3 linked regions of the Caenorhabditis elegans genome follow. The protein of the gene in region 2 interacts with the protein of the main gene of each other region in a pairwise test. Each region holds a gene or a part of one and is shown on either strand. Other genes may lie near its edges. The genes, in order: rbr-2, gmeb-3 and ing-3.

What was found.
Region 1: the proteins of gmeb-3 (region 2) and rbr-2 interact in a two-hybrid assay, tested with the Caenorhabditis elegans proteins (one large-scale study listed by BioGRID).
Region 3: the proteins of gmeb-3 (region 2) and ing-3 interact in a two-hybrid assay, tested with the Caenorhabditis elegans proteins (one large-scale study listed by BioGRID).

Annotation. Positions count from the first base shown.
Region 1 is NC_003282.8:10,918,343-10,922,095, reverse strand, and holds the start of rbr-2 (Lysine-specific demethylase rbr-2), read right to left. Parts: upstream 2,027-3,753; 5' UTR 1,990-2,026; coding exon 1,846-1,989; intron 1,803-1,845; coding exon of another isoform or gene 1,796-1,802; coding exon 1,664-1,795; intron 1,405-1,663; coding exon 968-1,404; intron 740-967; coding exon 552-739; intron 503-551; coding exon 1-502. UniProt on the Caenorhabditis elegans protein: Histone demethylase that specifically demethylates 'Lys-4' of histone H3, thereby playing a central role in histone code. Does not demethylate histone H3 'Lys-9', H3 'Lys-27', H3 'Lys-36', H3 'Lys-79' or H4 'Lys-20'.
Region 2 is NC_003281.10:3,766,673-3,770,425, reverse strand, and holds gmeb-3 (SAND domain-containing protein), read right to left. Parts: upstream 1,927-3,753; 5' UTR 1,879-1,926; coding exon 1,738-1,878; intron 1,523-1,737; coding exon 1,348-1,522; intron 1,298-1,347; coding exon 1,201-1,297; intron 1,020-1,200; coding exon 823-1,019; intron 768-822; coding exon 579-767; intron 509-578; coding exon 177-508; 3' UTR 98-176; downstream 1-97.
Region 3 is NC_003280.10:13,874,097-13,877,849, forward strand, and holds the start of ing-3 (Inhibitor of growth protein), read left to right. Parts: upstream 1-1,937; 5' UTR 1,938-1,965; coding exon 1,966-1,993; intron 1,994-2,059; coding exon 2,060-2,131; intron 2,132-2,184; coding exon 2,185-2,288; intron 2,289-3,673; coding exon 3,674-3,753. Other genes in the region: ndub-8 (NADH dehydrogenase [ubiquinone] 1 beta subcomplex subunit 8, mitochondrial), read left to right, coding at 921-1,122.

The sequences.
Region 1 (3,753 bases), on a different chromosome or scaffold from region 2:
TGCTGCTTCAGCTTCAGATCTGGGCCAGTGTGCTTATCTTCTTTTCGAGGAAATCCACTTCCTACTCGACTCGTAATCAAGTCGGCACCGTATTTGACAGAAACTGGATTTTCGTGTGAAATTACATTCTTCCAGAATGATCGTTCCACAGCATCACACGACACTTGTGATACATCTTTTACACCGAAATAATCACATTTCCATTTGTTGGCAAATTCAGTGAATGAGTTCAGATTGTATTCTGTGTCCGCATCATAAAATCCCCAGTCTAATCCGATTTTTGCATCCTCTGATTCAATGCACTTTGGACATCTCCACTCGCCTTCTGGTACTTCATCGAGTACTGGATCACAACAATATGTATGACGACCATTATTGCATCCATCAATATCGCAAAGAAGTAGTAGATCTTCATCCTTTCCTTCATTACAAGCAACGCAGAATACTTGATCCATTGGATCTTCATCATCATCATCGTCTCCTTCGGCTTTCTTCTTATTTTCTGTAATTTGTGAAAATAAATTTAAAAAATTTAAATTTAAAAAACGAACTTCTTCCTCTGGTTGAATTCTTCTTTGAAGATGTTCCAAGAGTCTTTCTTGAAGATGAAGCCTTCTTATTTTTAGATCTCCGTCGACCACTTTGCATCGACACTGGACACTCATCTTCCCCTCCTTCAGTAGTTTTATCATTTGGAACTTCTATTTCTGTCCGCATAGTTCCGTGGTGATGTTGATATCTATGAAATTCATTCGTTTTTAATTAGAATAATGGGGGAAATTATTAATAACAAAATTAAAAATTTTACTATTTATCGGTTTTAACATTTTTTCATGGTTCTAAAAAACAAAAACATGGGTACATAAGAAAAATTTAAAATGCATATAATTTCAAAAAAATCCATCTACATTATGTTTTCTTAACTGATTTGTAGATTTTTATTTATTTAAATTTCTTAATTACTCACTTATGCTTTAATTCTTCCATTTCATCATCACTTTCATCATCATTTTTCATCGCTTTTTCTTTCAAATTTCGATTAAATGGTTCAATGTGCAAATTATAATGTGATCGAATCAAATTTATGAAAGCCGACGGAACACCGCGAGCCATTTGCTCCTTTGGAAGGTATTCGCGGGCAACGTCTCTCCATTTTTCATCTTCATTCACTTCTTCACATCCTCCAAAGTTTTGAACTATACGATGTAATCGATACAAATCGACAATATTTCCATCTCGATCCACTGGAAACTCAAAAGTTAGACCAGAATATCGATTGAAATTGATTAATCGGTCAATAAATGTGTGTTTCTCTTTGACAATTGCCTCCACTTCATTCAGTTTTTGAGTTCGGGGACGAAATGTAAAGGCTTCTTTGTCGATAGCAAACGGTGGTTTGAAATTCTGCAAAAAAAGAGAGTTGATGCTTCTCGATTCGTTTTTTGAGGGAAAAATCAAAAATTTTCAGATAAAATTGCACTTTTCAAGTGGTGACCATTCTTTTAGTAAACTGAAAATTTTCTAATATTTAGTATTTAATTGAAGGGAGTAGTAGAAGTTTTTAAACTACTACAAACATTGTTTCGCTTTTTTTCAGACTTTTCAAAAACGATTAAAAACTTGTTAAACGTCAGACGTACAATTTTCCGAATAAATAACTTACCGCCGGCGGAACAATTTTAACAACTCCAAATTTTTCGGCCTCGTGTCGTATTTTGGCAACATACTCGATTGGATCTGAGAACTCTTCTTCTGTCGGGTAGTAAATTGGAGCCATTGGAGGTCGTACGAATTTCTGAAAACTATGAAAGCTTATTCACCTTATGTATGTCTTAGTAATCAAACCTTATAGAATTGATCGTACATTTCCATTTTGCTTCCATGATTCTTAGATCTTGAATTTCCGATGGATGCTTTCTTCCGCGGAGAAGTGCTCGTCGACGGTGCTGACGGCGTCGAGATACTGTTCTCTTGACGACGTGCACGCATTTTTCAGTTTGGCTTATAGCTTCATGAGATCTGTAAATTTCATTTTTGTTTGACTTTAATATTAATTGAAATTAAAAGCTTTGAGAAGAAGAACATTTTAAGTACCGACGAGAAATTTCCATGTGATGAAACAAGATGCATCACGAGTGTTATGATAGACGTCATAGAAACCCGGAAATGAAAATTAGCTTATACTCCTTTAAAATTGGCTTTTAAGCTTTTTCTTATTAAGCTTTTGATTTGAACTTAATATTGTATAAATAATTAAGCTGAAAAATGACTCATATTTAAATATATATATTTCTCCAATTTTTGAGGTCGAGCAGCTTTTCAAAGTTTAGACAAGGATCTTTGGTAGAGTTTTAAATGTAGGTCAAGACACGTAAGGCATCGTATAGTAACTCAAATCATTGAAAACTCCATCTCTCTGAATCTTTTTGATGTGTCACCTAAAATGCATTGAGAGACTGGTATTCTTTGACCACTTTGCAGTAGGTCGGTGTCCTTTTCGTCAGAAATTGCGTGCGGTAAAGATAAGCGGAGAAACAGAAAAAAATATAGATAAAATCGAAAAACCGAGAGGAAATAGCCCCCAGCGCCCACCAGGGTCGGCCCACGAAAATCGAGGAAAGTGCGCTCCGCCGAACATTACTCTCGAGTGTCCACTCTCGTCGTCTTGTCACTCCTCTGTTTGCATGCTATTCGCTAGCAATAATCTCTCGGTCTCCTGCCCAATCACACTTTATTCATGTTATGTGCGCGACGCGTTCTCGCATGTGCCTCCTAGTAATACGTGAATTTTTGCACTAACTTTTTTTTGAGGCCAGCAGCTGAGGAAAGATGGGCGCACACAAAGAAAACGAAGAGAAAGCAGGAAGACGCATGTAAAATGAACACAGACTGAGAGAAAAAGAGAACATGGAATTATGGCTCCGAGAGCCAGCATTTTTAATTGAAGATTTGAGACTGTGTTTGTTTACTACGGTTTTAAAGGGAGGCGTATCAATGCGGAATGGTCTCGCCACGCACTGCGAACTCATGAAAAAATTGGCGTGTGCGCCTTTAAGATGACTGTAGAGATTTTTCTGGCATGTCTAATTACATAAAATACAGAAAATTGGGAAAAGAACAATCGAAAATGAAGAAAAGGGAGAAACGAGAAAATTGGAGATTTGCCAGCAAACCCTCTACAGTAATCTTAAAGGCGCACATACCAGATTTCTGAAAAAAAAATCGCAGAGCGTGGCGAGACCATTCCGCATAAACTCGCCACTTTAAAATCATAGAAGTTGTAAAAAGTACACAGTAATATGTAGAAACTGATTTCGCCGAATTGTGAATCTCCATAGTTTCTAAGGAATGTGAATATTATTTTTCAAAACTAAATCAAACTCATTAAAAAGTTATTATGCGCCCGTTTTGAAATAAACGATGGTTGCGCGCGAGAGAATGAGAAGACATAGATTATAACTGCAAAAGCAGAATCAGCTGTCTGCGTGTGAAGAAGCTGATTAAAAACGAAAGGGCGAAAAAGACTTGTTTCACACGACTACACACATTCTTACGACAAATAGACGAAACGGAGGGAGAATCAGAAGTTTATGACCGAACGCTGAAGACGTGTAATCACAGACGTGGTTAGAAAGTGAGGCTGAACGCGGAACTTAAAGCGAAAATGTGTAACATATTGAACAGTGCACGATTTTCAGATGTTCAGAGCATTCGTTTGACAGTTAACAATTTTTCTAAGATAAATCGTTAATA
Region 2 (3,753 bases):
ATGTGGTTATTTATATGCCTGTAGGTCAGTTTTTTTATTGAACTGGAAGCTTCTGGGAAATAGAACAATTTTGTGATTAAATTCTGAAAGCACTTAAAACTTGAAAAAATCTTTTATTTAAATACTAGTACTGGTACGAACAGTACAGAACAAAAAATAATTATTATTAAAATCTATTAAAGATCCTCCAAAAGATAACTGCATCTAGGTTGATTATCCAAGTCGTCAGCTTCAGTTTGAGCATCTTCTTGATATTTTCCCTGGTCCTCCATCATTTCATTTTGCTTCTTCTGTTCATTCACATTTCTCTCGATCGATTGCACTCGATTCACAATCGGCTTCTGGATACCAAGAGCAAATGTGGCACGAGTCAGAACAAATGCACTATTTTGATTCAAGGATTGAGTCATTGCAGATTGTTTCAGATTGATAGCACCGGCAATTATGTCATCACAGAATTGAGAAATGAAGCCGCTTCGCTTGATTTGAGACCAGAAACTCATTGGATCTGGAATCATTTGGAAGTTTATTTGATAGGTAGAGGCAGTGAAACTCGAAAATATGCAAAAACTCCTTACCATTTTGCAGACAACTGTAAATATCCTGAGCTGGGCTGCACACAGGTCTTTCTGGAGCTGGGGATCTTGTTGAGAAAGCTGGCTGGAAGAACTCTTCAAAAACAAGCTGATCTTCTGATTCAACAAAGTTGATTTCCAGCTTTGCCTTGTTTTTCTTGCCTGCTGGACGCCCACGACCTCTTTTCTTGACTGAAAAAATAGGATTTCCTTAAAATTAAATGCACCATGATTTTTAAAATATTACTTGGCTCTTCACTAATTTGTCCACTACTTTGCTCCGTTGGCTCAGATGCATCATCTCCGGAAGCTAGAACATCTTCGAGGTGACGTTTGTTAACTGGAGCTCTGCCCGTTGAGTTCATGTAGTTGCGACTTTGGCACTGTCCATGACAGATACTCTTGTGATTATAGAAATCGATGGTTTTGTTCTCCAATAGTGTTCTGAAATTTAATGAATTAAAACTGGAACGTTAAGAATTAAACGTGGCTAGCAGTCCCAAGCAAAAGGTTACGATTAAGCCCAAACCTAAGCCTAGCACATAACCTAAAACCGAGGCCTAAGCCTAAGCATACGCCTGAGCCTAAACCAAAGCATACAATTTATTGATCTTTCTGCACTCACCTCAAGCTAACATTCTCCACACGAATACACGCCTTCCAGTCTTTCTGTCGCCCTTTTCCACCAAGTTCCGTAAATTGTTTCGGAGTCAGATACTGTGCTGAAATTCCAGAATAAATTCATTCTCTCACATTATAAAAGCCACCATACATTCATATTCGATGCAAGCCTGACGAATTCCGGGGCACCTGAACAATTTGAGATGCATAATTCCTTTGACATATCCACAGGTAACCGGCACCGTGGTGGCATTTAGAGGTACAATTGGTGTCCAGATATGTTCAGATGGAGTATCCAGGTAAGTATAGCTGAGTTCCGATGCTTGCTGTAATATTTATTTGTTATTTTCGAATTGCTAATTGGAGCCAAAATGGCATTTTTCGTATCTCAGACAGCAATGTAGGTGCATTTGAAGTTTTCAAACTAAATTGAAGATTTTTTTCGAGCCAAAAAAGTATTTCCGAGACTAACAAGACTATTTCAATTTTTGGAAGAATTGTTTCCAAAAAAATTGTCTCAAAATTTCACATCCCAACTCACATCATACATATTCTCCTGAACGCGTCTCCCGTCTATCTCGAAATTTGGATCACTTGGAACCAGCATCTCTTCGTTTTTCATCTCACTGGTTGATCCGAACTCGGGTTGAGTAGAGAATTCGAAATCATCGTCGTCACACATTTTTCAGGTAATCGATGAATAAAGATGGGCGACCCGACGCGACACGATAATTTCTGACACGCAACTAGTTTTCCGCCAGCTTGGATCTGTTGGCTTCTCGCGTGTTTTTGAATATTTTTAAAATAAATTAATGATTTTTTTTTTGAAAAGTTAAGGCATTTCAATGATCAAAAATATCATTTATACTGGAAAAATTGCAGAGAAAAATCCAAAAAGTATTGTGGTATCGTAAGCCTTACTAGGGACAAACAATATGATTATTAAAATAGATGACTGCAGAAAAATTAGTTTCGGAAGAGCATTTTGAACTAGCAAAAAAATGTTTTTCATAAGAGTTTTTTTAAGTTCTTGCGAGGCCCGGTAATTTGCATGGAAGCTTTTTTTTTGAAAAAAAAATCAGCTTCTAAAATTGTTTACCCAACTAAATTCAAAAATTTCCAGATTTTTTTCCAGTACGTTTGTTGTGAAGAATTACACAGAATTCAAAAAAATGCTCTGCAAAATTATTTGAAATGGGATTTTTTCTGAAACATCCGGTGTTAAACATTTTTACTATTTTTCTGTTACACAGGGTAAATCATCCTCCACGCCATCCCATTACAATGAGCACTGTATTTGAGCATATCCACATTCCATTAAAAGTGGTGGGTGACCCGGACTTGTACTTTTACTTTTTGAAACCGCAATTCAATGATCTAAATACCCATGAGAGGCCCGATAATGAAGGTGATTTTATACTTTTTAACGAACAACGATTACCTCATTCGTCATATGACTGGAGCCTGGAGCTAGCTACAATTTTTACATTTAAAATGTTTTTTTTTGTTTTGAAAATTAACTGTTTGCTTGTTTTTTTTCATGTGCAGTGGAGAAACATCTGGAATTAATTTTTAGATATATTTTTATGTTCTAGCTAAGATATGATTTTTTTAATTTTAAAATATTAATGGGTGAATAGGGGAATACCTATTCAATGAATTGCGGCTGTGCATGAAAAATCGCGAAGTGGAAGTTATATATTTTAAAATTTATGAAATTTCCTAAATTTTCAAAATTGTTAATTGAGCAGGCGACATTGATTGTGGGCTCCATCTCGGCATATCCAGGGTACTTACGCAATACTGGCTAGTTTATTGTAATGGTACGGTACAGTAGCGTTACTAAAGCAAGCTCTTCTTGTTTTTTGACTGAAATACTACAGTTAGGATCCACGCCCAAAAAAACTGAAACTCTTTTTTTGCTCATTCCCAGTATCAAAAGTAACAAACTTTAATATGATAGTATCTTATTTTGTTTTTGTTCAAATAGATGGTTGATATCGTAAAAGCGATAGTGGGAATGCTTGTTTTTCAAGTTTTAGTTTCGAATTTGGTTGTTACAAAACTAAGGTATGATAAAGATGTTCTGCTTTACTTTTTTGGCCAAAAAAGTATCAAAAAAAAGTTTGAAACACAGATTCCCACCACTTTCAGCCTGTCTTAGAACAAATTCCATTTTCTCTTGCTGATAAGCTGTCTATGAGAGAGACACTATTTACATTACCTCAATATACTTGCCATAATGTTACTTGGTTTTGAAACTTAATGAATCATAATACGTTTATTGTTGCATTGAGTCCCCCCTTTCAAACAGGCGGTCCCCCCTACCTTATGTGTCCCTCCCCACCAGCCGAACCTCCAATCGTCTACAACTCCATTCAACTTTTCTTCGTCCATCTCTCTGTCTTATCGCATTTGTCCTCTATATGAGACACACTTATCATAAATTGGTGGGCGACACACAGACACTTTCAATTGTCACTATTTCGGACACGTCTCGCGATGTTTCATTGGAGCTCATTGCGCGTTGTTTTTAGAGTTCCGGTGTAGAGTGTGA
Region 3 (3,753 bases), on a different chromosome or scaffold from region 2:
GTTTTTTTTTCCAATTTTCACGAAAAATGCTCACTGGCTCTGGATATTTGACATATCTTGTTCCTGTTTTTGAAAAAAAAATGGGTCTCGTAGTCCGTGAATTTTGAATTGATTTTTTGCACAGATTTTGGGTAATTTCGCTGAAAAATGTGTATTTTATGGGTTTTTGGGCAGTTTTTTCCATAATTTTTCACTATTTTTAGGTAAAAATTCGGAATTTCTGATTTTCAGCCAGTTTTTTTTTCATTATTTTCTCCGATTTTCTAATAAAAAAGCGAATTTTTCGCTGAAAAATGCGAATTTTAGTCCAATTTTCTGATAAAAATCCGAAAATTCGCAGATTTTTCGGGTAATTTCGCCCTAAAACTTAAGTTTTTCATAATTTTCCCCGATTTTCTGATAAAACTCCGAATTTTTTCCCTTAAAAAAGTGGATTTTCGTATTTTTAGGCAGTTTTTTTCATAATTTTTTGAAAAAAAGAGGAATTTCTCGTATTTTGGCTAAAAAAATGACGAATTTTTTTTGATTTTCCTGAAATTTCATTGATTTTTTTTGAATTTCTCGTCGGATTTTCCACAGGTTTTTTAAATTTTTTAAAGGATTTTTCAGTTGATTTTCTGAGATTTTTTCACTAAATTGAGAATTTTCGTTCGATTTCCTGGAAATTTTTTTGACATTTTTCAAATTATTTACTGATTTTCTTGCCTCTTATTACGGGTTTTCACCGATTTTTAGCGAAAAAATCTACCGATTTTATCGATTTCGTATCTCTCGGATTTTCTTGAATTTTTGCAGCGATTTTTAGTATTTTCGGTGAAAAAAATGTGGATTTTCTAAATTTTGCGATTTTTTTTTAATTTTCGGATTTTTAGGCTGTTTTTTTTTGTTTTTTTTTTCTAATTAATTTATCCAATTTTCAGCTGGAACTCGATCGTTATGTGCCTCCGCGTGCTCGTACCGATGGCTCTCCTCGCCTGGTACTTTACCAACGAACATCCGAACGCGCTCCGTTGGAAGAATCCGGCAATGCCGAAGCAGTATTCATACGATTTCTACCGTGCCTACCCGTTCGACGATCCACGCAAATACCCAATTGTCAACTATTCGTTTGATTTGGAATAGAAAATTCCTTAGTTTCGGTTGTTTTTTTTTTGGTAGTTTTCTCCGTTTTCTCCTTTTTTGTACTATAAAATATTCGAATTTTATCATTTTTTTTTTTGCCTTTTTTTTGCCCTTTTTTCAGCGTTTTTAACGCTTTTATACCTATTAATTCGTTTTTTTTGTTGCTTAAAATTGCGCCTAATTGAAAAAAAAATTCCTAAATTTTATATGATTTTTTGAAAATTGAAAAAGTCTCAGTTTTCACCCCTAATTCCTATTTGAATTACCGCTAATTGGATTTGTTCGATGGAGCGCGCTTGCACGTTTTTAAGTTTATTTATTTTATTTTTTGTTATTTTCCACCGATTTTCAATTTTTTTTAGTTTTCGGTGTATTTTTACATGAATTTTAGAGAAAAAGTCAAAATAAATGCTAAATTTCGATTAAAAAGCACGCTTACAGGCGTAAAAATGACAAAATTAATTAATTTCACTGATTTCGGTCTGTACGCATGGTTTTTATTCGAAAATTTGCATTTATTTCGACTTTTTCTCTAAAATTCAAGCAAAAATACACCGAAAACATTAAAAATCGGTGGAAAATAACAAAAAATAAATAAATTTAGAAACGTGCAAGCGCGGCGCTCCAACGAACGAGTTCAATTGGCGGAAATTCAAATAGGAATTAGGGGTAAAAACTGAGATTTTTTCAATTTTCAAAAAATCATATAAAATTTAGAAATTTTTTTTTGAATTTGGCGTGTTTTAAAGCAATTTTCCCACTGGCGCTACGCTACTCCACTTTTAATTAATTAATTATTTGGAAAAAAAATTCAGAACTCGGCGCTGGACGCCCCCGCACAAAATGCTCTTCCTCGATGATTTTTTAGAAAGTAAGTGGTTTTTTTTGTTGCAAACTTTTCCCCTATAAAAACACCCAAATTTTCAACGTTTTCCAGTGCTCGATGAGCTGCCTGCCGAGCTGAAGGAGAGAAGCGATGAAATTCGGCGAATCGACAATGAAGTTGAATGTAAAATTTCGAAATTTTTCTGAATTTTTCCCTTCATTTTTTCGAATTTTTAGCCCGTCTAAACCGTAATCGAGAGGCGATCAACGATTTTTTCGAGAGAACCGGCGTAAATATGCCCGAGGAGCAGAGAAAGGAGCGCTGCAAGGTTTTGCAGGAGGTGAATTTCATGAAAATTCCTGGAACTCGAATTTGGCAGCAAATTGACACGAAAACGCAGGAAAAAGTTGATTTTTGCCACAAAAACGGCTAAAATTCGTGAAAAATGAGAAATTTCGCTATAAAACCCGTTTTTCTAGCTTTTTCGTGAAGAAAAATGAGAAAAAATGGGATTTTTTTGTACTTTGCCTGATGTCATTTTTTCACTTTTTAAGCTTTTTTTTCCCACAAAACACCAAAAGTGCTCAAAAATACTCAAAGTGAATGACGTCTAAAAACACTAAAATGAGGTCGAAAAACTCAAAAAGTTGCTCAAGATCCGACCAAGTTGTAACCTTTTCGGAAAAAAACCTAAAATTAGAATTTTGTCGTTTTTGATCGTTTTTTGAAGCTTTTTCTTCACAAAAATAGCTTAAAAACGCAAAAATTAGCCCAAAACGCTTATAAATCTCAAAATGCATCCAATTTTTCAAAATTTTCCGCTAAAAATAAAGGAAATACCGAAATTTTCAAAAAATGAGCATTTTTCCGCGAAAAAATCCCAAAATTCCGCTAATTTTTCAGAATTTCTCGGAAAAAAACGGTCGAAAAAATTCCTTTTTTCACTGAAAATCTTTTTTAAAAAACAGGACAAAAAATCGCAAAATTCAGACAATTTTTCGGAATTTCTTGTTAAAAAGTGAAAAAAAAGCTGAAAATTTAGCTTTTTTCACGAAAAAAAATTGAAAATTCAACTAATTTTTGGGAAAAAACATTTACATTTGCATTTTCTAATTTTTTTTTCGTGGTTTTCTAAAAAAAACTTTCAAAATCTCAAAATACAACCAATTTTGCCGAAATTCTTGGAAAAAAACCCTAAATTTGCATTTTCTATTAATTTTAAAAGCTTTCTCCCCCAAAACTACCTTATAATCCCAAAAAATCAGCCAATTTTTCTAATTTCTCTTTAAAAAAAAAGCTGAAAAATTAGCTTTTAAAAAAAAAAAAAGCTTAAAAATCCCAAAATGCCAATTTTCCAGATTTTCTCGCGTTGAAAGTGAAGGAAATGCCGAAATTATAAAAAAAAATTAGCTGTTTTCACAACAAAAAAAAAGTCGAAACCCCCGAAAAATCATAAAATCAACCAATTTTTCAGAATTTCTCTTTAAAAAGTAAAAAAAAGCTCAAAAATTTGCTTTTTTTTTTCAATAAAAATTTTAGAATTCAACCATTTTTTCAAAATTTCTCGTTAAAACGTTGAATAAGCTCAAAAAAAAGTTTTTATCACAAAAATAGCTGAAAAATGGCAAAATTTCTCTTAAAAAATGAAAAAAAAAGTTCAAAAATTTGCTTTTTCACAAAAAAAAAATTGAAAAAACCCAAAAAATTGCAACCAATTTTCTTCAGGAATTCTCCACAATCCGCGTGCTAGCTCAACGCAAATATCTAATCGCCGAAAAAATGCAAGAACTCCTCAAAAAGTACAA